Ovis aries: one gene and its partners. The protein of the gene in region 2 binds, or shares a complex with, the protein of the main gene of each other region. Links are inferred from orthologs where the notes say so. Each region holds a gene or a part of one and is shown on either strand. Other genes may lie near its edges.

Region 1 (6,536 bases), on a different chromosome or scaffold from region 2:
GGCCCAGGGGGCTGGGTGGGGCGGCCAGGCGGCTCACACCCCTCCCGCAGGTGCCGCCTGTGGAGCTGCCCAGGACCACCCTGCGTGTGCTGCTCCTGGACCACAGGCGCCTCTCCCAGCACCGGCCGCTGGGCGCGCTCAGCCTGCCGCTGGGCTCCGTGGACCTGCAGCACGTGCTGGAGCTCTGGCGCCCACTGGGCCCGCCCGCTGCGGCTGAGGTGAGCCCGCCCGCCCCGGGCTCCCGCCCCCCACCTGGCTCCGCGTGCTGGGGGGGGCAGCTGAGGCCCTCTCGTGCCCCCCACAGCCTGAGCAGACGGAGGAGCTCTGCTTCTCGCTCCACTACGTGCCCGGCTCCGGCCGGCTGACTGTGGTCGTGCTGGAGGCCCGAGGCCTGAGCCCTGTGCTGGCAGGTGAGAGCTGGACCCACCTCGCCATGTGGACAGAGGAACCCAGGGCTCAGCCCTCAGACCTGGGAGGCCCTCTGACCCCTTTCGCTCTCCCAGACCCCTACGTGAAGATCCAGCTCATGCTGAACCAGAGGAAGTGGAAAAGGAGAAAGACGTCGGCCAGGAAGGGCACGGCCACCCCTTACTTCAACGAGGCCTTCACCTTCCTCGTGCCCTTCAGCCAGATCCAGGTGGGCTGCCTGGAGGAGGGGGCAGGAGAGAACCTCACTCAGGGCCAAACTGACCGCTGTCTCTCTCCCCCTCCTCCTACACCTCTGCCTGCTTCTACCCAGAGCGTGGATCTGGTGCTGGCCGTCTGGGCCCAGGGCCCACAGCTGCGGGCCGAGCCTGTCGGCAAGGTGCTGCTGGGCGCCCGGGCCTCTGGGCAGCCTCTCCAGCACTGGGCGGACATGCTGGCCCAGGCCCGGCGGCCCGTCGCCCAGTGGCACCGCCTGCAGCCAGCCAGGGAGGTGGACCAGGCCCTGGCCTTGCAGTCCCGCCTGCGTCTGCCCTTGCCTGGCTTCTGAGGGCAGCCCTGGGCCTGGGCCTCCCCGTGCGCATTGCCCCAGGGCCCGCGGCAATAAACGCCTCCCCTCCACCATGCGTCTTTCCTGAGCTCTGCAGGCGCGGCGGGGTCAGGGGCTCCTGACACCGCCACGGCCCCTCCCATGGACAGGGAGAGGGTCTCCTCTCGTGGCTCATCCAGGCCTCTGACTTGGGCCTGACCCCTGAGTGAGGGCAAAGGGGCCCCTCCAGGCCCGCTGGGGATGATCCGGGAGAAGGGGCCCCCATCTGTGACTAGAGAGCTAGAGACGGGCCCCTGGGGACACACCGGGCAAGAGCAAGGTGTTTGGGAGGGTGGTGACAGTGGGTGGAGGGAACTCCAATTCCTGGGGCCACCCCAGTCCCCCACAAAGCCCTGAAACTGACTGGATGGTGGGGCGGGGCCTCCCCTGCACGCGCAGCAGGGGGCAGTAGATGCCTGCAGAAGCCACCCTGGGCCTTTGGGGGCTCAGCCTGGCCCAGAAAGCAACTCTAACCCCCACACATCTGGACGGCTTCAGCTCTCCCTGGCCCTCCCCATGGCCGAGAAGCCCCAGCTCAGAGGATGCCAAGTCATGGTCGTCCGGATGCCTCTGCTGGGCGGGGGCCAGGGTGGGGGGCCGCAGGCCCGGGGCTGGGGTGAGGAGGGCAGTGTGCTGGGCCTGCCTGAGCAGCCAGGCGGGCCCTGGGCCCCCTCGGGTCAGGGAGAGGTTCCCAGGCGGGTGGTGCCGAAATCCTGAGTTTGAAGGATGTGTTCTGAGCTGTGCGGGGAGCCAGCCCACGGGCAGGGTGGTCGGGCAAGGCTGCACGTCCATCTGGGACCTCCCATCCAGCTCTGAGAAGAAGATGGGATCCCACCCCTGGAGGGCAGTCCCTCTACCCTCAGCCCAGAGCCCCTGGTGCTGCTGCAGGCCGCAGAGGCTGTATCTGGGGTCCGGCCTTGCCCCAGGCCAGCCTGAGGCAGGGAGCACTTGAGCAGCTCATGCCCAATCTGTCCACTGGGCTAGAGGGGACTGTGGGCAGCAGAGTGTGAGTGGGCTGCTGTTTCCTGGGGGGCCCAGAGGCCTGGGAAAGCCGAGGGCGACCCAGAGTGGACCCTGCCTCTGGGCAGACAGGGCTGGGCAGGAGTGACCCCTCGGCTGACCCCTGAGCTGGCACCGTGGCTGCTGAGGCCGTCACACTGTCCTCGGGCTCCTTGCAAGATACGAGGGAGGCGACTCGAAGTCGTCACCTCGCCCTAAATAGACCAACCCAGCCTCAGCACCCCCTCCCAAGACTTCTTGGCCTGGATGGCAGTGGCGGCGGCGGGGCCAGGCCAGGCGGCTGGGCAGGTGGGGAGGTCCCTGTGCCCCCATTGGTCTGAGGAGGACTCCATGCCCTTTCTGAGCGGGGGCCCAGCCCGGGGGAGGCCATTTATAGCCCTCCCCCGGACCCACCAGCCCGACTCGCCACTGCCGGCCTGACCTCGGTCCCAGCGCCGCTGCCCAGACGCGAGGTGAGGCCGGCCCGGCCCGCCGAGGCCAGCACGGGCGCGTCTGGAGCGCGCTCTCAGAGGGACTTCTCCAGGGCGAGGGTGGGGGTCCGGGGTCTGAGGGCTTCTGCAGAGCAGAGGGCTGCAGGGAGACGCCTCCGGAGGGGGCTGGCATGGCATGGGGTCCCGGACGGCACGGCGGCAGCCAGGCCTCGGCTCTGAGCCTTGGGAAGAGGGGGCTTCGAGGCGTGAGGGACCCCAGGCCCTACCGGGGGGCGGCGTCTTCCGTGCACTTGGGCCAGAAGCCGAAGGAGCAGGGCTAAAAATAACTGGCGGCTCAGGCGGCCACCTGCGCTGGCCAGACCCTCCCTCCCGTGGGGACAGCTGCAGCAACTCCAGGCCCGCGGGGACATTTCGGGCACCCTGTCTCCTCTTACTGCTCCCTCCCCGCCCTGGGGAATTCCAAGACGTGGCCCTGAAGGAGGTGGGGGCGGGGGGTGGGCTAGTGTTCTCCTGGCCCCACCGGGTACAGGGCAGGTGGGCAGGGGTCCTGACCCCTCACCTTTCTCTCCCACAGGCTATCAGCTCAGGATCGCACGATGGGGGAGTAAGTGCAACCCCCAGCCTGCTGTCCCTGGGGCCCCCGCCCCCCAGTGCTGGGTGGGGGTCTCTGCGTGTCCCCACCTGACCACCCCACGCACCCGCCTGCCCCATCACACAGCCCCATGGCCCTAACCTCTCTTCTCTCTCCCCTACCCCCCGCCCGCCCTCCTGGGACAGTGAGGAGGTGAGTACCAGCTTGGGGGTGAAACACTGAGGGGATGGGACCCCCAAGTCAGGACAGGCCTGAAGCTGGAGCTCCAAGGCCCAGGGAGACTGACTCACCCTGTGGGTGAAACTGCCCCACCCCACCCTCCAAGACGCTGAGAAACAGAGGAAGTGGCCTTCCCGTTGGCCCCTCCCACGGGCCGGGGGGAAGTGGGCTGCGGCCTGGTCACTGGGGAGTCACTTCTTGTTTCTCTTGGCTGCACCCCGCCCCCACCTCGGGGCCCGAGGGTCTCCCCTGCCCTCCTCCCGCCTTCCCTGTCCGAAGTCTCTTCTCCAGACCCCAGGCCTCCCCACCAGAAGGGCCGCCCCGGCAAAGGGTCCCCACGCGGCCCCGTGTTCCCCACCAGGCCCAGGCCCCGCCGTGCCTTGGGCAGGATGCAGGGCTGGCCGAGTGGGCAGGGAAGGGTGCGGGGTGCCAGGACGCCCCACCGGCCGGCCCTGACGGCGCCTCCTCTCCCCTGCCCTGCAGAAACGCAACAGGGCCATCACGGCCCGCAGGCAGCACCTGAAGGTAAGTGAGGGCCGGGGAGGGCGGCCCGGGGGCGCAGCAGCCTGGCCAGCGGCGCCCTCACTGCCCGCTGCCCCCACCCCACCCCCCAGAGCGTCATGCTGCAGATTGCGGCCACTGAGCTGGAGAAGGAGGAGGGCCGCCGGGAGGCGGAGAAGCAGAACTACCTGTCAGAACACTGCCCGCCATTGCACCTGCCCGGCTCCATGTCTGAAGTGCAGGTACCCAGGGCCCCCGCATCGTGGGCCCTGTTCCTGGCCTGGCCCATCCACCCCCCGGGTCGGGAGGACGAGCGGGGTGGTCAGGGTGGGTGGAGGCCAGCCGTGGGGTCGCCCGCTCGCCCACCCGTGACCTCCGCCGCCAGGAGCTCTGCAGGCAGCTGCACGCCAAGATCGACGCGGCCGAGGAGGAGAAGTATGACATGGAGGTGAGGATGCAGAAGAGCACCAAGGAGGTGAGTGGCGGGGGAGGCGCGTGGGCCGGGGCGCGGGCTGCCCTGATGGCGGGGCCCAGTCCCCAACGCCTGCCCGCCCAGCCTCGCTGCCCGCCCTGCAGCTGGAGGACATGAACCAGAAGCTGTTCGACCTGAGGGGCAAGTTCAAGCGGCCCCCGCTGCGACGCGTGCGCATGTCGGCCGACGCCATGCTGAAGGCGCTGCTGGGCTCCAAGCACAAGGTGTGCATGGACCTGCGGGCCAACCTCAAGCAGGTCAAGAAGGAGGACACCGAGAAGGTAGGCCGCCCCCGGCGGCGGGGGCCTCAGCCTCGGGGCCCGCCTGCGGGGGCCGGACGCCGGGCGGCGGGGAGGCGGCGCCGGCCTGAGCCCTGTCCCACCTGCAGGAGCGCGACCTGCGCGATGTGGGCGACTGGAGGAAGAACATTGAGGAGAAGTCAGGCATGGAGGGCCGCAAGAAGATGTTCGAGACCGAGTCCTAGGCCCCTCACCCCGGCCGCCGCCCGGCGCCCCGTCACCGGGGGCCCTGAGGCTGACTTGGCGCCTGTCAATAAAGGATTCCAATCCCCAGGCCTGCTCCTCCCTGCCCTGGTCCGGCGCCGCCCTATCCACAGGCCGCCCTGGGAAGGCCCCGAGACTGTGCCTGGGCTTGGCGTGGGGGAGCCACACGCGGGCTTTGGGGGTCCCGGCTGTCCGGGCGGGTGGTCTCCAGGCCGGAAGCTCTCCTCCTCGCCCACCCGCTGGGGTGGCCGGGGCGTTGCCGAGCGACACCCGGAGATGGGCGCCCGTCTGTTGTCGCTGGCGTCACAGAGGCCCCCTCGGGGCCAGAAACACTGTCCTTGAGGCACCGGTACACGCAGGGGCCTGGGGTGGCCTCCCTCCCTGCACAGGCAGCCCGTTCTCCCCAGCTGCCCCTCCCCAGACCCCAGGCCCCCCGGAGGGGCTTGGGGGGCGGTCGTGGACCAGACTCCTGGGGGCCTCGAGGGGCTGGGGTCTGTCTCCCCCCGAGACTGGTGACGGAATAAGGCAGCCCCTCTCTGGGCCCAGCGGGAGGCCTGCCTTCCTTCCTGCCCGCCCCGGCCCTGCCACCCCCCACATCAGGACACAATGTCCCTGGCAGGCCCAGATGGGACTGTCACAGCAAGGCCGCCTTCAGCCTCCTTCTGAGGGATGATGGTGCGGTCCGCGAAGGCCCCACGCTCAGATCTCTGGTGGGGAGGCCAGGCTGCCACCGTGATGGAGCGGCTGTCCATCCTGCCCTTGCCCTCGGGAGGCCCTCACGATTGATGTGCAGGGGCCCGGAGCCTTGAGCGTCAAGGGAGGGACGTCAGCCCGCCCAAGGCCTTGGCCTGTCCCACCGCCTGGCCCTGCGGTGCAGGGACTGGGCTCCGTCCTGCAGGCACCTTCCTGCGGGCACCTTCCTGCGGGCCCTCCTGCTCCGCTACCCTGTGACTTGGGGCAGGCCCAGTCCTAGCACTCCCGGCGGCGGGAGGCGGCGCTCCAGTTGAGGCTCGCCGAGTGCGGAGCCCAGCGCGGGCAGGCAGCTGGCAGTGGGCTCCAGGACTGAGTGGGCTGCAGTGGCCAGAGCTCCCAGTGGCGGAGGCGGTACCTGCCCCCCACCCGCAAAGTGAGCCCAGCAACTGTGCAGGGAACGGGGGCGGGGCTCCCCAGGGATGCAGCCGCCACAGGCGCCACCGACTTGGTGGGTTTGGGGAATGACCTTCTTGCAAGCAAATGTCAAACACGAGGTTCCAGAAAGTGACTCCCTGGGCTGGGGGGCAGGTGGGGGTGACGTCGTGCTTGGGGCAGCTCAGTAGACTCTTGTGGGCTCAGTTGGGTCCAACTCTGTGCGACCCTGGGGCCTGTAGCCTGCCAAGCTCCTCTCTTCATGGAATTATCCAGGGAAGAATACTGGAGTGGGTAGCCATGCCCTCCTCCAGGGAGTCTTCTCAACCCAGGGATCGAAGCCACGTCTGCATTGGAGGCGAATTCTTAACTGTCTGAGGCACCTAGGAAGCCCCCTGACTTATGGGTACTTGTTGCGTTTTCCAATGAACACACGGCATGACAGAGGACCACCGGAACCGAGCCAAATGGGCAAACACCCAGCCAACGCAGCTCGGCCTGGCTCCACACCCCTCTGCCACCCCCTGAGGGTGGTGCTCCCGGCTGACCTCAGTGTCCCTGCAGCTATGTGGACATGGGCCCAATCCGGGAAGCACGTAGTCCAGCAGCGGGCAAGTGTTGAGGGCTCTGCCTTCTAGAAAGTTCTCTGCAGCCTGGAGAA
Region 2 (7,080 bases):
TGCTGGTTTCCTCACTGTACTCATCTCTTTGTCTTCCTGAGTTTACTGTAAATTCCACAAAATTAGGGACTGGGCCTCCTTCTGAAAAGTCCCAGTGTTCAGCCAGTGCTAGACACATAGTAGGGGTGTGACTAAACCCTGGAATGGCACACAGGCTGGTGGTGCCACCCACTGTCATCCTCCCTCCTATCCTGAATGTCATTCCTGGGTATACATGTAGGTCCTTCGGTTCTCCAGCTCCCGAGGGCAGGACGGAGGGGACCCATCTCCTCTCCCCAATCTCTCCAGGGACCAGGCAGCTCCCACCAGCTTTGGCCTCCACTGAGGCATCTTCAGAATTCCAAGACCGTCTCTGGAATGCCGGGCCTGTCTGGAGAATGCCAAGGCTGGGGCACAGGTGGGGAGGCTGTGGAGTGGCTGGGCGGAGCACGACAGCTGCTGACATTCTGGCTGGAGCCTGGGCACCGCGGCAGCTGTCCCTCTGGTAAGCACTGCTGCTGACACCTCGCTTCCCTGTGGCCCCCATCTCCCGGAGGTCAATCTCACTGTTCTGTCCGTAGCTCTGGCCTGGGCACCCCCAGGCAACTGAGAGTCACCAGGCCCCATGCCTCCACTCCCTGACAGGGGGTGAAAGTGAGTGCTGGGGTCATGAGGTTCACAGGAACTGGGAGCCCTGCCCATCAGGACCTGTTCATTAGAGTCCTTGGCTGGGAGCCAGGTGGCTCTGCTCTCCCCAGACTCACAGGATGACCCCGCAGGCCCCTCCCTGAGCCGCCCCGGGTGCCAGGGTCCTTACCTGTGAAATGAGTGAGGGGAGGTAGAGCAGGCGATATGCCCCTGGGTCTGGGGAGTCCACACTACAGCAGGAAATCCAGGTGGACGGGCAGGGGGACTGGGCAGGCCCAAGGACCCCCCAGCGTCCTGCTGCCAGACGGGAGGAGCCATGGCTGCTCTGCCAAGTGGCATCCAGGGCTTGGCCTGGTGCTGAAGGACTGCCCCTCCGAGTATAGGACCCTTCTGCTGCCAACTGGCTGACTAAAGCCATGGCCCCCAGGGGCCTGTGAAACTCAGATTCCTGGGCCACCACAGACTCCAGATGTGGAATTGCTGGAGATGGAGCCTGGGCACCAGCAGTTCTAGAAAGGAGCCAGGTGGGTATGGAGCACGGTGGTCTCTGAGCTGTAGAAGGCGGGGTGCGAGGGTGGTGAGAGCATGGGTTCTGGGACAGGGAAGGCAGCGGTCAGGGCAGGAGAGGCCACTGGCGGAGATGGGGGAATGAAAGCTGGACACCAGGCCTCCAGGAGCACGATTTTATTGGCTAGGACAGTGCTGAGGGAGGTAGTCATGGAGGGCCCTTTGTCAAGGGCACACCCAAGTTCACATCCTGGGGACCCTGGCCCTCTGCCCGCAGTCCCGGGGCCCAGCTGGAGTTGGAAGGTGGTACAGGCAGCTCTGGGTGAAGGTTGGTGTCTACTCCACCCCCTTCATGAACTCCAGGAACTCTGCGGAGAGACAGACGGGCATAGGTTAGACATGGGGCCTGGGCAGGGCGTGGGCAGGGGGATTCAGAGGGACCCACTCACCATCGTAGTCAATGCGGCCATCGTTGTTTTTGTCACCATCCTTCATGAGCTCCTCAATGTCGTCCTCTGTGATGGTCTCCCCTGTAGCCTGAAGCATTATCTTCAGCTCCTCCAGGTCGATGTAGCCGTCAGCATTTCTGCCAGTTGGGTGAGAGGGGCCTCAGAGCCCATTTTAGGGGCAGGGGGAGGGGGCAAAACAGCCCTGCTTGTGACCCTGGGAAGCAGGGAAGGGCCACCAGGAGATGGGGCATCCTATTCCCTCATTGTGCAGAACGGGAGATGGAGGCCAAGGTCACAAAGCTGTCCCCCTCTGCCCAGCTCTGCCAGGGCCAGGGTCGGAGGTCCAGGCTCACGCACTCACTTGTCAAACATGCGGAAGAGGTCTGAAAGCTCTTCCTCAGACTTTCCTTTGCTGTCATCCTTCATGCAGCGAACCATCATGACCAAGAACTCATCAAAGTCCACTGTGCCGCTGCCTGGGGGAGAGGGCGGCACACCATTAAAGGGTGGTGCTCAGGATGGCTGGCCCTGCCCTGGACACTGACCCCAGTGGTGTTCTCACTGAATCCTCTCAGTGACTCTGTGAGGCGAGTGTGATTACTGCGCCCATTGCATAGATGATATGGTTGAGGATCAGAGGGGCCAAACAGCTCCTTTAAGGGTGCAAAGTAAGAAGTGGCAGGGCCAGGGTTCAAGTCCTCCCAGAGTTGGGGGCCTGGGGAGGGGCAAAGGGGCTCACCGTCCTCATCCACCTCGTCAATCATCTCCTGCAGCTCCTCAGGGGTGGGGTTCTGCCCCAGCATCCTCATCACCTTGCCCAGCTCCTTGGTGCTGATGCAGCCATCCTCAGCGCCCAGCACGAAGATGTCAAAGGCTGCCTTGAACTCTGTGTCCAGGAGGAGAGGAGGGGAAGCAGAGCAGCATGGCTCAGTCAAGAACCCTGAAGGCCAGACGCCGAGGGCCGCCTGCTAACCTGCTGCTCCCCTCTGAGACCTCTGGGGTGACCGGGAGGGGGACCCCAGCCTCGGGCCTGCAGCCTGGGGTCCTCACGCTCCCCCAGCTGGGCCCCACTGTTTCCCCACAGCCATGTTGGGGCACTCACCATTTTTCTGCTCTTCTGTCAGCTGCTCTACCTAGAGAAGAAAAGAAGTCTCAGGCTCAGACCTTGGCTTCTGTCGAGGAAACCAGCCCATTCCACAGGTGGGAAGACTGAAGCCGGGAAGAGGCAGGCCATTCCCAGGTCACAGAGCAGAGGCCTCAGTTCTCCCAGCCTGTCCCCAAGCCCTGAGGTGACCCAGCTCACCTCCCTGAGGCTGGGCTCAGGGCCAGGGTGGCAGGTGGGCGCCCTCTCCAGGACCAAGGTGACCCCGAATAACAATAGCCAGTTGGCCTCTCAGTGTCCTTTCAGCCCCCCTGCTGAAACCCAAGCTGGGTGGCCGGAGGGGCAGCTGTCCCTCAGGTTCGGACAATAAAACCACAGCGGGGGTAGGCAAAGCCACCCGCTGTAACCTGACCGGTGGCCACTGGGCTATTTTTAACGGGGGACAAAGTTAAACCTGGTGATTGTTCTGGGGACTCTGGCATGCAGGGGGTGGGGCAGCGTTATCTGGCCCCTTGGCCTCCTGGTGTCTCAAGAGCCAAAATTAGTCCCTGGTCCGCCAGGCCTTGTATGGGCACGGGGTGGAGGGCTGCCCCTCTCCCAGCTCCACAGACTCCTGCAGGAAAGACAGGGGCACCCCCAGAGCCAGCTGTAGCCTTTCCTGCCCAGGAGGGGGTCCGTACTTCCTGGAGCTGAGGTAGGGGTTCCCTTGCGCGCAGCTGTCTGGGTCAGATGTCCTTGTCTCTGTGGTGGACGGAGGTCAGCAACACCCCCACTCCCAGGTTGGAATAGCATCTGAAGCCCCTCAGTGGCCCCTGCAGGGACTTGGGGTGACCAAGAAAAGGTGACCACCCTCTAGCCCTTCCCCTTAGCTGAGCCACTGAGCCCTGAGCCTGCCAGGCTGAACAGGGGCTGCGCCCCAGGTCTGTTATTCCCTCCTAGTCCCTCTGTGCCTGCATCAAGCTTCAGAGCCCTCTGCAGCCCCCTCCTCACAACCCCTGTCCCACCCTCCAGAGCACCTTCAGCCAGCCAAGGGGGTGGTGGGGGATTGGATGGGTGAGGAGCCAAATATGAGGGGCAGCAATGCGGAGAGGGAAACAGCCACAGAGCCTCAGAAGGAGAGCTTGGGAGGAACAAAGAGACAGACCAAACACACAAATGCAGAGAGGTGTGTCCCAGAGACAGTGACACAGGCTACAGACATTTGGAGACCGGGCTGGACATGATGCTATAGCTTTGATGTCCTCCTCCACCAACCCTGATAGTTCCCCCCAGATCCTAAACTCTTCACCCCTTCTACACCCTGGAATGCCAGACCAACCGGCCCCTTGAAGGTCTAGGCTGAAAGTTACTGGACTCTATCCTGGGTCCCTACCACCTCCTTAGGGTGACCTTGCCCCTGAGCCCCCAGTGGGTACGCCCACCCCAGGCCCCAAAGGGTATGCCCACCCCAGCCCTGCCCAGGCCCATCCCTTACCGCAGCCTTGTAGATGTCATCCATACTGGCGGCTCACAGGGCAGGCTGCTGGGGTTGCCAGCGGCCCTGGGCTTAAATAGCCTAGCCCCGCCGCATTCCCGACCCAGCCCACCCCTGCCTGCAATATCCTCTACTCCCTCCCCTTGGCCCTGGTGATCTCACACTGGCCTGAGTCCCTGTGTCCTCTGCCCAGGGCAAGGAGCAGATGAAGGGCTACAGGACCAGAGCTCTTTCCCTCTGTCCCCCATTCCCCCAGGAGACTCTCTGGAAAGGTTTTTGGAATGAATGAAAACATGAGTCCAGGACAGGCAGGAGCTGCAAGGCCAGGCCCCCAGGCCAGGCCCCCAGATCAGCAACACAACTCTTATCCAACCAAGGAGGTGGGTGAGGCTCCTGGAGGGGTGGTGACTTGCTCAGGTCTGGCTGACTTGGCAGCTCCTGACTTAAACTAAACCCCTCTGGGCTTCCCTAGTGGCTCAGATGGTAAAGCATCTGCCTGCAATGTGGGAGATCCGGGTTAGATCCCTGGGTTGGGAAGATTCCCTGGAGAAGGAAATGGCAACCCACTCCAGTACTCTTGTCTGGAAAATCCCATGGACGGAGTAGCCTGGTAGGTTACAGTCCCTGGGGTCGCAAAGAGTCAGACACGACTGAGTGACTTCACTTTCCTGCAGCAGTATGCAAAAAGAAGCTGGGAGTGGAGGACCCTGCCAAGAGAAGCGTTGAGTGCCAAGCTCGGATCGTGGTGCTGTGGGACTCGTGGAGAAGGAAGGCACTGGCCTACCTCAAGAGAGTGCAGTTTGGAGCCCTTCTGCCAAGGGTGCCAGAGGAGCCGCTCCCCAGACCTGTCATCTCCTCAGGGAGAAAAGTACTAGGTCTAGGCTGAAATGCACTCTACCAGTCAACAAATACACCAACAGATGCCTCGTCTGTGTGAGACTCTCCCTCTCCAGTTGGGTCACTACCTCTTCTGGACCTGGGTTAGGGCTCCTTCTCTGTGCCCATGCTTCCCTTTTCCAGCACTGTAGTTCCTGAGTCCAGCGCCAATCTGTCACCCCCTCATTTTGAGCTCTGGTAGGATACCATCTGGGGGTGTTGTGCCAGATGGCCAGCACATATCCTTTCCACCTAACCCCTCCACGTCCTTCACGCAGCTGGTTTTGAGTGGCTCAGTCATGCCTGACTCTTTGTGACCTCATGGACTGTAGCCTGCCAGGCTCCTCTGTCCATGGGATATTTTCCTGGCAAGAATACTGGAGTGGGTTGCCATTTCCTCCTCGAGGGGATCTTCGGACCCAGGGATGGAACCTGCGTCTCCTGTTTGGCAGGCGGATTCTTTACCACTGACCCACCTGGGAAGTCACAGAGCCTATACCAGTTCCCTGCCTTGCCTGCCAGCCATTGCATGGATTAACCCCCTCAATTCTCTAGAAAGTCCATTTGACAGAGATATCTGAGTCTTGCAGAGGTTAAGAACTAGCTCAGAGTTACAAATCAGATCCTCCTTCAACACACTCCAGGGAATGAGACCAAGAGGTAGGTGAGATGTAATTACTGTCGCTTTTGCGGAGAGGGAAACTAAGGCCAGGCGTGGCAGTGACTTGCCACGGAAGGTGCAGGGCCATCCCTTTCGAGTGCCAGAGCCCAGAGCAATTCCTGCCCGAGCCTCGGTTTCTCCCGAGCTGCAAGGCGCGCGGCGGGCGGGGCCCCGGGGACCGATTACGCAATCGAACCGTCCCAGGCGGCCTGCGCACGCGCGCCGCGGGCCGCAGCTGTCAATTACGTGCGCGGGGCGGAGTGGGGCGGGGGCGCGAGAAGGCGGCGGGGCCGGCATGGCCGCACGGCTCGCGCCGGGGGCGGGGGGCGGCGGGGGCCAGGGGGCGGTGGGACGCTGACCCCGCCCCCTACTGCTGCCAGTCTGCGCCGGGCGGCGGCGGCGACCGAGCCCGGAACATGGCGGCGGCGGCGCGCAGCTTCGGGCCCGAGCGGGAGGCCGAGCCGGCCAAGACGGCGCGCGTCGTGGGCTCTGAGCTCGTGGACACGTATACGGTGTGCTGGGGGCCCGGGCTCCCGAACTGGAGGTGGCGACTGGGACCTGGAGTCTTGAGTCGGGGGCGGGGGGTTGGGGTGGGCTTCTCGGCCCCTCAGCTGGAGAGGAAGATGTCGGGGCGCTGCGACTTTGAGGAGGGGGCCTGGGATGGCAGAATCTGGGGAACGGGCGCTTGGGCTCCGCGGGTCTGGAAAAAGGGTCTTGGGGTGGGGCGCAGAGAGGGGGCTTAGGAAGGGTATGCGTTTAGAAAAGGAGGCTAGGAATGGGAAGGATCAAGGGATAAAGGAGGCCTGCAGAGGAGAGGGGTCAGGTTGAGGCGGAGGCTCCCCTGGAGGGGCGCCGGCCTGGGAGGACATGACAGGGGGTCCCGGAGAAGGGGAATTAGGAAAGGGGGTCTTCGGATGGTATCAGCGGAAAGGGTTAGGGCGCTGCAAGCCGTGAAGAAAAAGAGGGGGCGGGGCCTTGGTCTGGGGGCCCTTGGGGTTGCAGTTGACATTTGCTCATAAGTGAAGGGGGCATCTGGGGGGCCTGGGCGCTCAGGCAGAGACAAGAATAGAGGCGAGTGGAGCCCAGACCCCGGGGATTGAGGGGGTGGCTCAGGACTGAGAGTCCAAGAGCCCGGAACTTTAGGGGTCTTCACGGCTTTGGACTGTGGGGGTGAGAGAGAGCGTCTCACTGCCCACGCACACTTCAAGGCTGTGGAGGAGATGCAGGATAGAAAGGGGAGAAGTCGCAGACTGTGATGAAGTAGGAGGCCCTCCTGGGTCTGGGTGGGCTTGGGCGCCTATGGGCCTGGTAGGCTGCCTAGCAGGGACTGGCCCCAAGGTGGGGGTGGCCTGAGCACCTCTCAGCCTCCTGTCCTTTGTTCTGG
Region 3 (7,009 bases), on a different chromosome or scaffold from region 2:
GCCTGCCTCTCTCTGGCTGTGCCGCTGACTCCATCTGTCTGTGCCTCCGGATGTCTGTCTCCGGGCCTTGGTCTCCTTGGTCTCGGCACCTCTGTGTCCTCCCAAGTGGAGACCCAACTCTGCTCCTGCTCTGCTCTGGTACCACTCCTGCCCCGGTTTCTCCAGCCTCTCTCACACCTAACCGCCCGCCCCGCCCCCAGGAGTAGACAGACAGCCACCCCCAGCTCAGAGAGAAGCTTTATTCCTCGGGGTCATCCTCGAGGCCAGGGTCAGGGCAGTGGGCAGTCAGCTCAGCCCTCAAACTTCTTCTTGCGGCCTTCCATTCCACTCAACGCGTCGATGTTCTTGCGCCAGTCTCCTACCTCTCGGTTTTCCTGAGGGGGTGGGTCAGAGGTTAGCGTGTCTTCCTGGTAGCCTCCACTTGCCCTCCCGCCTGCTGGGTCACTTGTTCCAGATGCCCATTGCAGGGTCTGGTTCTGGAATACTTCTTGTCCCCTCAGACAATCCTTTCCAATATGCCCCACTTCCTGTCTCCCTCCTGCACTTCCTGTGACCGACCTGCACTTCCTCTCACTCATGCACTTCCTGTCTCCCTCTTGGACTTCCTGTCTCCCTCCTGCACTTCCTGTCTCCCTCATGCACTTCCTGTCTCCCTCCTGCACTTCCTCTCTCCCTCATGCACTTCCTGTCTCCCTCTTGGACTTCCTGTCTCCCTCCTGCACTTCCTGTGACCGACCTGCACTTCCTGTCTCCCTCCTGCACTTCCTGTGACCGACCTGCACTTCCTCTCACTCATGCACTTCCTGTCTCCCTCCTGCACTTCCTCTCTCACTCATGCACTTCCTGTCTCCCTCTTGGACTTCCTGTCTCCCTCCTGCACTTCCTCTCCCTCATGCACTTCCTGTCTCCCTCATGTACCTCCTGATTCTTCGCCACTTCCACTCTCCCTAATGCACTCCCTGTCTTTCTCTTCTACATCCTATCTTACTCTTGCATTTCCTGTGCCCCTCTTAGACTTCCTGTGGAGGACCCTTACCAGATACTTCTCCCCACAACTCCAAATATCACCCGCCCTCAGGCTGGGCCCTAGGATTGCTGCCCACTACCTCCTCCCCCAAGCACCCCCTTTCCTGGACTGAGCCACACTCACCTTCTCCGTGTCCTCCTTCTTCACCTGCTTGAGGTGGGCCCGCAGGTCCAAGGTCTCCTTAGCCCTGGCGCCCAGCAGTGCCTGCATCATGGCATCTGCAGAGATCCGCACTCTACGCAGAGTGGGCCGCTTAAACTTGCCCCGAAGGTCAAAGATCTTCTGGTTCAGATCTGCGATCTGGGTGAAGCCATAAAGGGAGGTGGAGACCCCCCTCCTCTTCCTGCTTACCTCACTTCTCCACCCTACACTTCTCTCCTATCCCTAGCCAGGCTCTCCCTAGTTCAGGCCTCTACCACCTTCAGGATGAAATCCAAGCTCCCCATCCTGTAATTGGATACCCAATTTGCCTTGGCCTCATCTCTGAAAGCCACCGACACATCCCAGTCCAGTTACATGCATCTCACAGGTCCCTGGCCCACACTTGAGCTGACTTACCAACACTTGAGGCTCCAGCCACAAATGTTCACAAACATATTTCCTGCTTTGTCCCCTCCTGGCTTTTGTGCTCATCCCTGACCCTATTGTGCTCATCCTTCTGGCCTCTCCCTGCCAGGTTCACAGAGTTGTCCTGCGTCTCCTGGTGTCTGCAGCTGTAAGGAGCTGCAAGGGGCCAGGCTGAGACCAGAGCCTGAATCATCCCACACTACCCCAAAGGGACCCAGGCTGCCCAGTGCCTCCCACCTCAGTGATGTTCTTAGTGACTTTCGCCTCCACGTCATATCTCTCCTCATCCACCTTGTCCACTCGGGCGTGGAGTTCTCGGCACAAGTCCTGGTGGAGGAATGCGGTGTGTGTAGTGAGGAGAAACCCCAGGATTTGGACTCCTGGGTCTGAAGGAGGAGGGGTTGGGGACCTGGAGGAGTAGATTGAAGTCAGACCCTGGGGAACTTTAGAGGTTCTAAAGTCAGAGGTTCTGAGAATCTGGACTGGAGTTGGGCTGGAGGAACCAGTCTCTGCGTTTTGAGGTTGTAGGCAGCTGGGGGCCACATTTCTGAACTCCTAAGGGTGAGAATTGGCAAATTGGGCCCAAAGGTCCTGAGCAGAAGAGTGGGGGCATCGTAAGTATACCCCTGAGTCCCAAGGGACGCAAGATCGGACACTAGGAACCTGGGAGCCTAGGCCGGGCCGGAGTCCCTGGTTAGAACCAGTACCTGGAGCTCCGCGAAGCCCAGCCCGGCCAACTCCAGGGGCTGGCACCGTGTGCTCAGAGCGCGCCCCTTCTCTCCTCGCCGCTCCTCGGCCTCCCGCTCCAGTTCCTGCTTCGCAATCTGCAGCATCAGGGTCTAGGGAGGGGGTGCCGGGAACCGCGGCCCAGTGCTGGGATGAGGACGCTGCGGGGTAGTCACCCTCACCGGGCCCCGCCCTCTAATCCCAGGCCGGCTTCCAGAGACCTGCCTCCTCCAGGTTGATGTCCATCATTCCCGGGCCCCAGCCCTCCCTGGCAGGGCCATCCCGCCGCCAAACTTTTCAGGCCCCGCCCAGTCGCTCACCCGAAGCCCCGCCCCAACGTCCAAGACCCGCCCCCTGAAGACACCTAGCTTTTCCGTGGGCTCATCCGTACCTTCAGCTGCAGTTTTCTCGAGGCGGAGATCTTAGACTTTTTCTGCCGGGTAAGACAGCAAGGAAGGATGACGGAGGACGGCGGGAGGAGTATCAGAATCCCGCCCGTTCAAGTCAAGTCCCTCCTCCAACTCCAGCCCGCGGGAAGCCACGCCCCTCATCCCCATCCACCAATCTGGGGCCTATAGCTAGGCTCCGCCCACCGTCTCTAAGCGTTCTCAGGTGCGGAGGCGGCGGGACTCCGCCCATCCTCAAGCTCGCACCAATCAGACGTCGGCCCTCTGCTAAGCCCGTCCCATAAAGGCCTTACTCCTCTTGGGCTCCGCCCACCACCAAAGTCCCATGAGGGCCCTGGCTCCGCCCCGCCTCCCCAGGACGCCAGTGCCCTAAGAACCTGAATCTAAACCCTGCGAGGCGCCCCCCGACCGGCCCCGCGCCCTCGCTGGCCCCCGACCTCACCTTGGCGTGCGGCTCCGTGGCGTAGGCGCGGTAGTTGGCTGACGAGCGGCGTCGGACAGGAGGGGGCGCGGAGACCGTGTCCCCCGCCTGGGGTTGGGGGAACGGGGCTGAGTCACGACGGGGAGCCCCCCTCCCCAACCCGTCTCCCTGCCGTCTTCCAGGGCTGCAGTCTCTCTCCCCAGAGCCCTTCCCGCAGCCCCCTCCCCGGGCACGCGGGACCAGCCCACGCCCGCTCTCACCGTACTGCTGCCGCTCCTGGAGGGAGAGAAACCAAGAAAGCGGGTGACTGGTGGGCCTGGGTCCTGTCTAGTCCGTGTCCCAAGGGACCCCATAGGCCCTTCTGACCACAGTTCCGGCCTACCAGCTCCCCATTCTAGGCTCCTAGGGGTTGGAGTCCCAAGCTCTCACCTCATTCGGACACCCGGGTTTCCTGTCCTTACCTCCTTCTCAGAGTGGAGTCCAGGCTCGCAACTCTCACTCCTCACAGGGACCCGGGAGATGAGCCCCCACCCGCCTCCGGCCTCAAGAGCCCAGGTTACCAGTCCTCACTCACCGGTCCGCCATGCTGGGTCTCAGGCCAGGAGCTGAGGGAGGCAGAACCCCGGGAGCAAGGAGCTCTTGGAGGGTCAGGGAGGGAGCGTCCGGAGTGACCTTGAAGGTCCCTGGGACTTGTCTCGTCCGGTCTGCTCAAACCTCACTGAGGACACTGAGATAAAGGGCGAGGACGGAGACTAAATATACTGCTGCCCCCTCCTCCCCCTGCCCAGGATTCGAGATAACGGGGCGCGTGAGGGGTGGGGCGGGCCATGCTCCAGCTGGATCACCCCTTCACCTTGGTGGCCTGGGAATCCAGCCCCTTCTCCCTCAAATCCAGGGGTCCAGGCCCCCCACCCCTCCTCCCTCAGACCTGGGGGTCCAGGCCCCCCACCCTTCCTCCCTTAGACCCAGGGGTCCAGGCCTCCCACCCCTCCTCCTTCAGACCCAGGGGTCCAGGCCCCCACCCCTCCTCCCTCAGACCTGGGGGTCCAGGCCCCACACCCCTCCTCCCTCAGACCTGGGGGTCCAGGCCCCCACCCCTCCTCCCTCAGACCTGGGGGTCCAGGCCCCCACCCCTCCTCCCTCAGACCCAGGGGTCCAGGCCCCCCACACCTCCTCCCTCAGACCTGGGGGTCCAGACCCCCAGCGCTCCTCCCTCAGACCCAGGAGTCTAGGCCCTGCCCCTTCACTAAACTGCAGTCTCCTTGAGGGCTGGAACTTCCTCACTGTGTTATGCTCAGCCTCAGTGCCCCAAACCTGTTACCCAATCAGTACAGTTTGCTGATTCACTTGAGGATACAGGTGTGGGGTGCCCAGGCTTTCAGCAGTTCATTCACTCAGTCGTGTGCGACTCTGCGACCCCATGGACTGCAGCACACCAGTCCATCACCAACTCCCGGAGTTTACTCAACTCATGCCCCTTGAGTTGGTGATGCCATCCAACAATCTCATCCTCTGTTGTCCCCTTCTCCTCCCGCCTGCAATTTTTCACAGCATCAGGATCTTTTCAAATGAGTCAGCTTTTCGCATCAGGTGGCCAAAGTATTGGAGTTTCAGCTTCAACATCAATCCTTTCAATGAATATTCAGGACTGATTTCCTTTAGGATGGACTGGTTGCAACCCAAGGGACTCCCAAGACTCTTCTCCAATATCACAGTTCAAAACCATCAATTCTTCAGCACTCAGCTTTCTTTATAGTCCAACTCTCACATCCATACATGACTACTGGAAAAACCATAGCCTTAACTAGACAGACCTTTGTTGGCAAAGTAATGTCTCTGCTTTTTAATATGCTTCAGCAGGTAGCACATAAAAATTCACCTCTTGCTCACCCCCCCACACCCCCTCCCTCTCCCATTCTTGGAGACAGACTGAGGGCAGGAAAGACACAGACACCTGGAGAAGAGTTCTTGGCTCTCTTTACTTGGCCCACCTGAGGGTAGACCAGCCTGTGCGAGGCGACACCCCAGCCCCCAGTTAGGAATGGGACGCCTGGAGACGAGGGGACCACGCAGAGGGCCTGAGCAGAGCCCCAGAGCTAGAGCTCCAGGGTGTTTTCAGAGTCTGGGAGTGAAAGGCAGAACTCAAGAGAACAGTCTAGAATTCTAGGAATAAATATAGAATCCCAGGAATGGAATCCGAAATGCTAGCGACACCGCTGGCGCCGAGTGAGACTGCTGAGAGTATTCTAGAGGCGCGTTCTCCTTCTATGACCGGAGTTTAGAGGTCGGGGATGGGGGACTTGGTCTCTGGAGGAACATTCTGATTCTCTGATTTAGGGGCCTGACTCCCTGTGGGCGGAACTGAAGCCTCCAAGAGTGAAGCCTGAGACTCTGAGGTCAGTTTGAGGGGTTCAGAGGGTGGGGTCCCCGGTTCAAGGGGCTGGGTCCGGTCCTCAGAGGGCCAGTCGGTTGCCTCAAGGGGCGGGGCCAGGACGTCAGGGGGCGGAGTCCCAGATTCCACAGCCTGGTCCTCGTGGCCGGGAGCTGAGTCCCCGGCCTTGTAGAAGCGCGCGAAGGTGTCCGAGGGCTTGCCCCCCAACTGTGGGGCGAATCCAGCCGCTTGTGCTAGCTCCCCGACCCGGCGGGAGAACGCATGCAGCTGCTCCTGCCGCAGGTCCACTAGGAACCTGGAACCAGGAAGCGGCGGGTTAGGGGGCCCCCGCTTTCCGCCCCCGGCCTGGAAGTTGCCCGCCCTGCCCTCTGCTGGCTCACTGGGCTAATTCGACAATCAGGCGTCCTCTGGGGGCCACGCAGGCCCCCAGCTCTGGGCTGAGAAGATGGACCATCCTGTGGAGAGAAAAGGGGAAGGCTGAGGCTCGGACTTTCAGGTTCTGAGAGAAGAAGGGAGGCTGGGGACCTGGACACTGATTGAGGAGGGTCTGGGGGCCTAGATTCCTGGGTCTGAGGGAGGAGGGGTTGGGTGAGGAAGATCTGGGCGCCTCCCAGGTCCTCTTACCCACAGGCCACGTAGAGGAGCTGGAACTGTCCCTTGTAGCAGCTCTTGTGGTGGAGGGTGTGGGCAGAATCAAGGGGCAGGAAGTGGACAGTGAAGGGCTCCAGGACAGGGGCTGCCGGGGAAGGGAAGACTAGCAGGGTTAGGCAGACACTCGAAGCTTGGAGATGACTCTCCTCGTCCGTCTTCAGGCCTTTTGTCTTCCTTTCTCTTGGGTAGATCCCTGGAAAATTCTGGGAAGACTGGTCTGGCAGGCAGAAACCCATTTTACAGACTAGGCAACTGAGATTCACGAGAGGAAAAGAGAGTGGGTGACCCATGGCCACACAAGTCATTCATTCACCCGGGAGGGCCAACCTAGGTAATGGGTAGACGGAGGCACGACCAGATTTGGGTCGGGGGGTTCTCCAGCGGTATAATCTGAAACGTAGAACCTCGTTAAAATGTTCGCCTCTTGAGTATCTGCACGTGGGATCACAATTCTGCTAATTCTGCTAATGGAATTCAGAATGGTAAGGATGGTGTCAAGAGTTGGAAAAGGGAGAGAAATTCAAAGAGTGAAAAACAGACCGGATGTCGGAAGGGGAGGCCACTTGTCCAGGCTTTAGACACCGTACCGATCCATACTTGTACTTCAAATACCCGGAGCCTGAAGCCTGGGACGAGGGTCCGGGTCCCGCTCTCCCCCAGATGTGAGTGCCCCAGCCCCGCTTGCCACCTCAAGGGAACAGCCCGGGTCCGCGGCTTACCGGGCTCCGGGCTTCCCTCGGCGCCGCCCTGCACCTGCTCCGGGTCCCCCTCGGCGGCTCTCGGGTGCCCCCAGGCGGCCATCTCTCGGAAGAGCTCCG

The links.
Region 1: the proteins of TNNC1 (region 2) and TNNI2 are in contact, whole or in part, in an NMR structure (PDB 2MKP), measured with the Homo sapiens proteins. The link is inferred for Ovis aries from reciprocal best matches to the Homo sapiens genes TNNC1 and TNNI2. Residues at the interface, in NP_003271.1 of Homo sapiens: Asn18, Glu19, Phe20, Ala22, Ala23, Ile26, Val44, Met45, Met47, Leu48, Gln50, Pro52, Glu56, Phe77, Met80, Met81, Cys84, Met85, Lys86, Asp87; in NP_001139301.1 of Homo sapiens: Arg116, Met117, Ser118, Ala119, Asp120, Ala121, Met122, Leu123, Ala125, Leu126, Leu127, Lys130, His131, Lys132.
Region 3: the proteins of TNNC1 (region 2) and TNNI3 are in contact, whole or in part, in a crystal structure (PDB 4Y99), measured with the Homo sapiens proteins. The link is inferred for Ovis aries from reciprocal best matches to the Homo sapiens genes TNNC1 and TNNI3. Residues at the interface, in NP_003271.1 of Homo sapiens: Asp3, Ile4, Lys6, Ala7, Glu10, Gln11, Thr13, Glu15, Gln16, Glu19, Phe20, Ala22, Ala23, Ile26, Phe27, Val44, Met45, Leu48, Gln50, Glu59, Met60, Glu63, Glu66, Asp67, Gly68, Asp73, Asp75, Glu76, Phe77, Met81; in NP_000354.4 of Homo sapiens: Glu32, Pro33, His34, Ala35, Lys36, Lys37, Lys38, Ser39, Lys40, Ile41, Ser42, Ala43, Ser44, Arg45, Lys46, Leu47, Gln48, Leu49, Lys50, Thr51, Leu52, Leu53, Leu54, Ile56, Ala57, Lys58, Glu60, Leu61, Glu64, Arg136.

The regions. Positions count from the first base shown.
Region 1 is NC_056074.1:46,019,814-46,026,349, reverse strand, and holds TNNI2 (troponin I, fast skeletal muscle), read left to right. Parts: upstream 1-2,871; 5' UTR 2,872-3,037; coding exon of another isoform or gene 3,038-3,148; exon of another isoform or gene 3,149-3,229; intron 3,230-3,240; 5' UTR 3,241-3,799; intron 3,800-3,888; 5' UTR 3,889-3,894; coding exon 3,895-4,017; intron 4,018-4,160; coding exon 4,161-4,250; intron 4,251-4,351; coding exon 4,352-4,528; intron 4,529-4,635; coding exon 4,636-4,731; 3' UTR 4,732-4,819; downstream 4,820-6,536. Other genes in the region: SYT8 (synaptotagmin-8), read left to right, coding at 51-218, 305-410, 504-637, 740-973. UniProt on the Homo sapiens protein: Troponin I is the inhibitory subunit of troponin, the thin filament regulatory complex which confers calcium-sensitivity to striated muscle actomyosin ATPase activity.
Region 2 is NC_056072.1:48,510,067-48,517,146, reverse strand, and holds TNNC1 (troponin C, slow skeletal and cardiac muscles), read right to left. Parts: upstream 4,210-7,080; 5' UTR 4,184-4,209; coding exon 4,160-4,183; intron 2,717-4,159; coding exon 2,686-2,716; intron 2,470-2,685; coding exon 2,323-2,469; intron 2,060-2,322; coding exon 1,945-2,059; intron 1,727-1,944; exon of another isoform or gene 1,721-1,726; coding exon 1,584-1,720; exon of another isoform or gene 1,503-1,583; coding exon 1,471-1,502; 3' UTR 1,297-1,470; downstream 1-1,296. Other genes in the region: NISCH (nischarin), read left to right, coding at 6,113-6,208. UniProt on the Homo sapiens protein: Troponin is the central regulatory protein of striated muscle contraction. Tn consists of three components: Tn-I which is the inhibitor of actomyosin ATPase, Tn-T which contains the binding site for tropomyosin and Tn-C.
Region 3 is NC_056067.1:63,045,548-63,052,556, reverse strand, and holds TNNI3 (troponin I, cardiac muscle), read right to left. Parts: upstream 3,878-7,009; 5' UTR 3,734-3,877; coding exon 3,723-3,733; intron 3,425-3,722; coding exon 3,409-3,424; intron 3,257-3,408; coding exon 3,170-3,256; intron 2,754-3,169; coding exon 2,712-2,753; intron 2,434-2,711; coding exon 2,302-2,433; intron 1,922-2,301; coding exon 1,832-1,921; intron 1,328-1,831; coding exon 1,151-1,327; intron 375-1,150; coding exon 291-374; 3' UTR 226-290; downstream 1-225. Other genes in the region: DNAAF3 (dynein axonemal assembly factor 3), read right to left, coding at 5,427-5,835, 5,921-5,995, 6,165-6,276, 6,911-7,009. UniProt on the Homo sapiens protein: Troponin I is the inhibitory subunit of troponin, the thin filament regulatory complex which confers calcium-sensitivity to striated muscle actomyosin ATPase activity.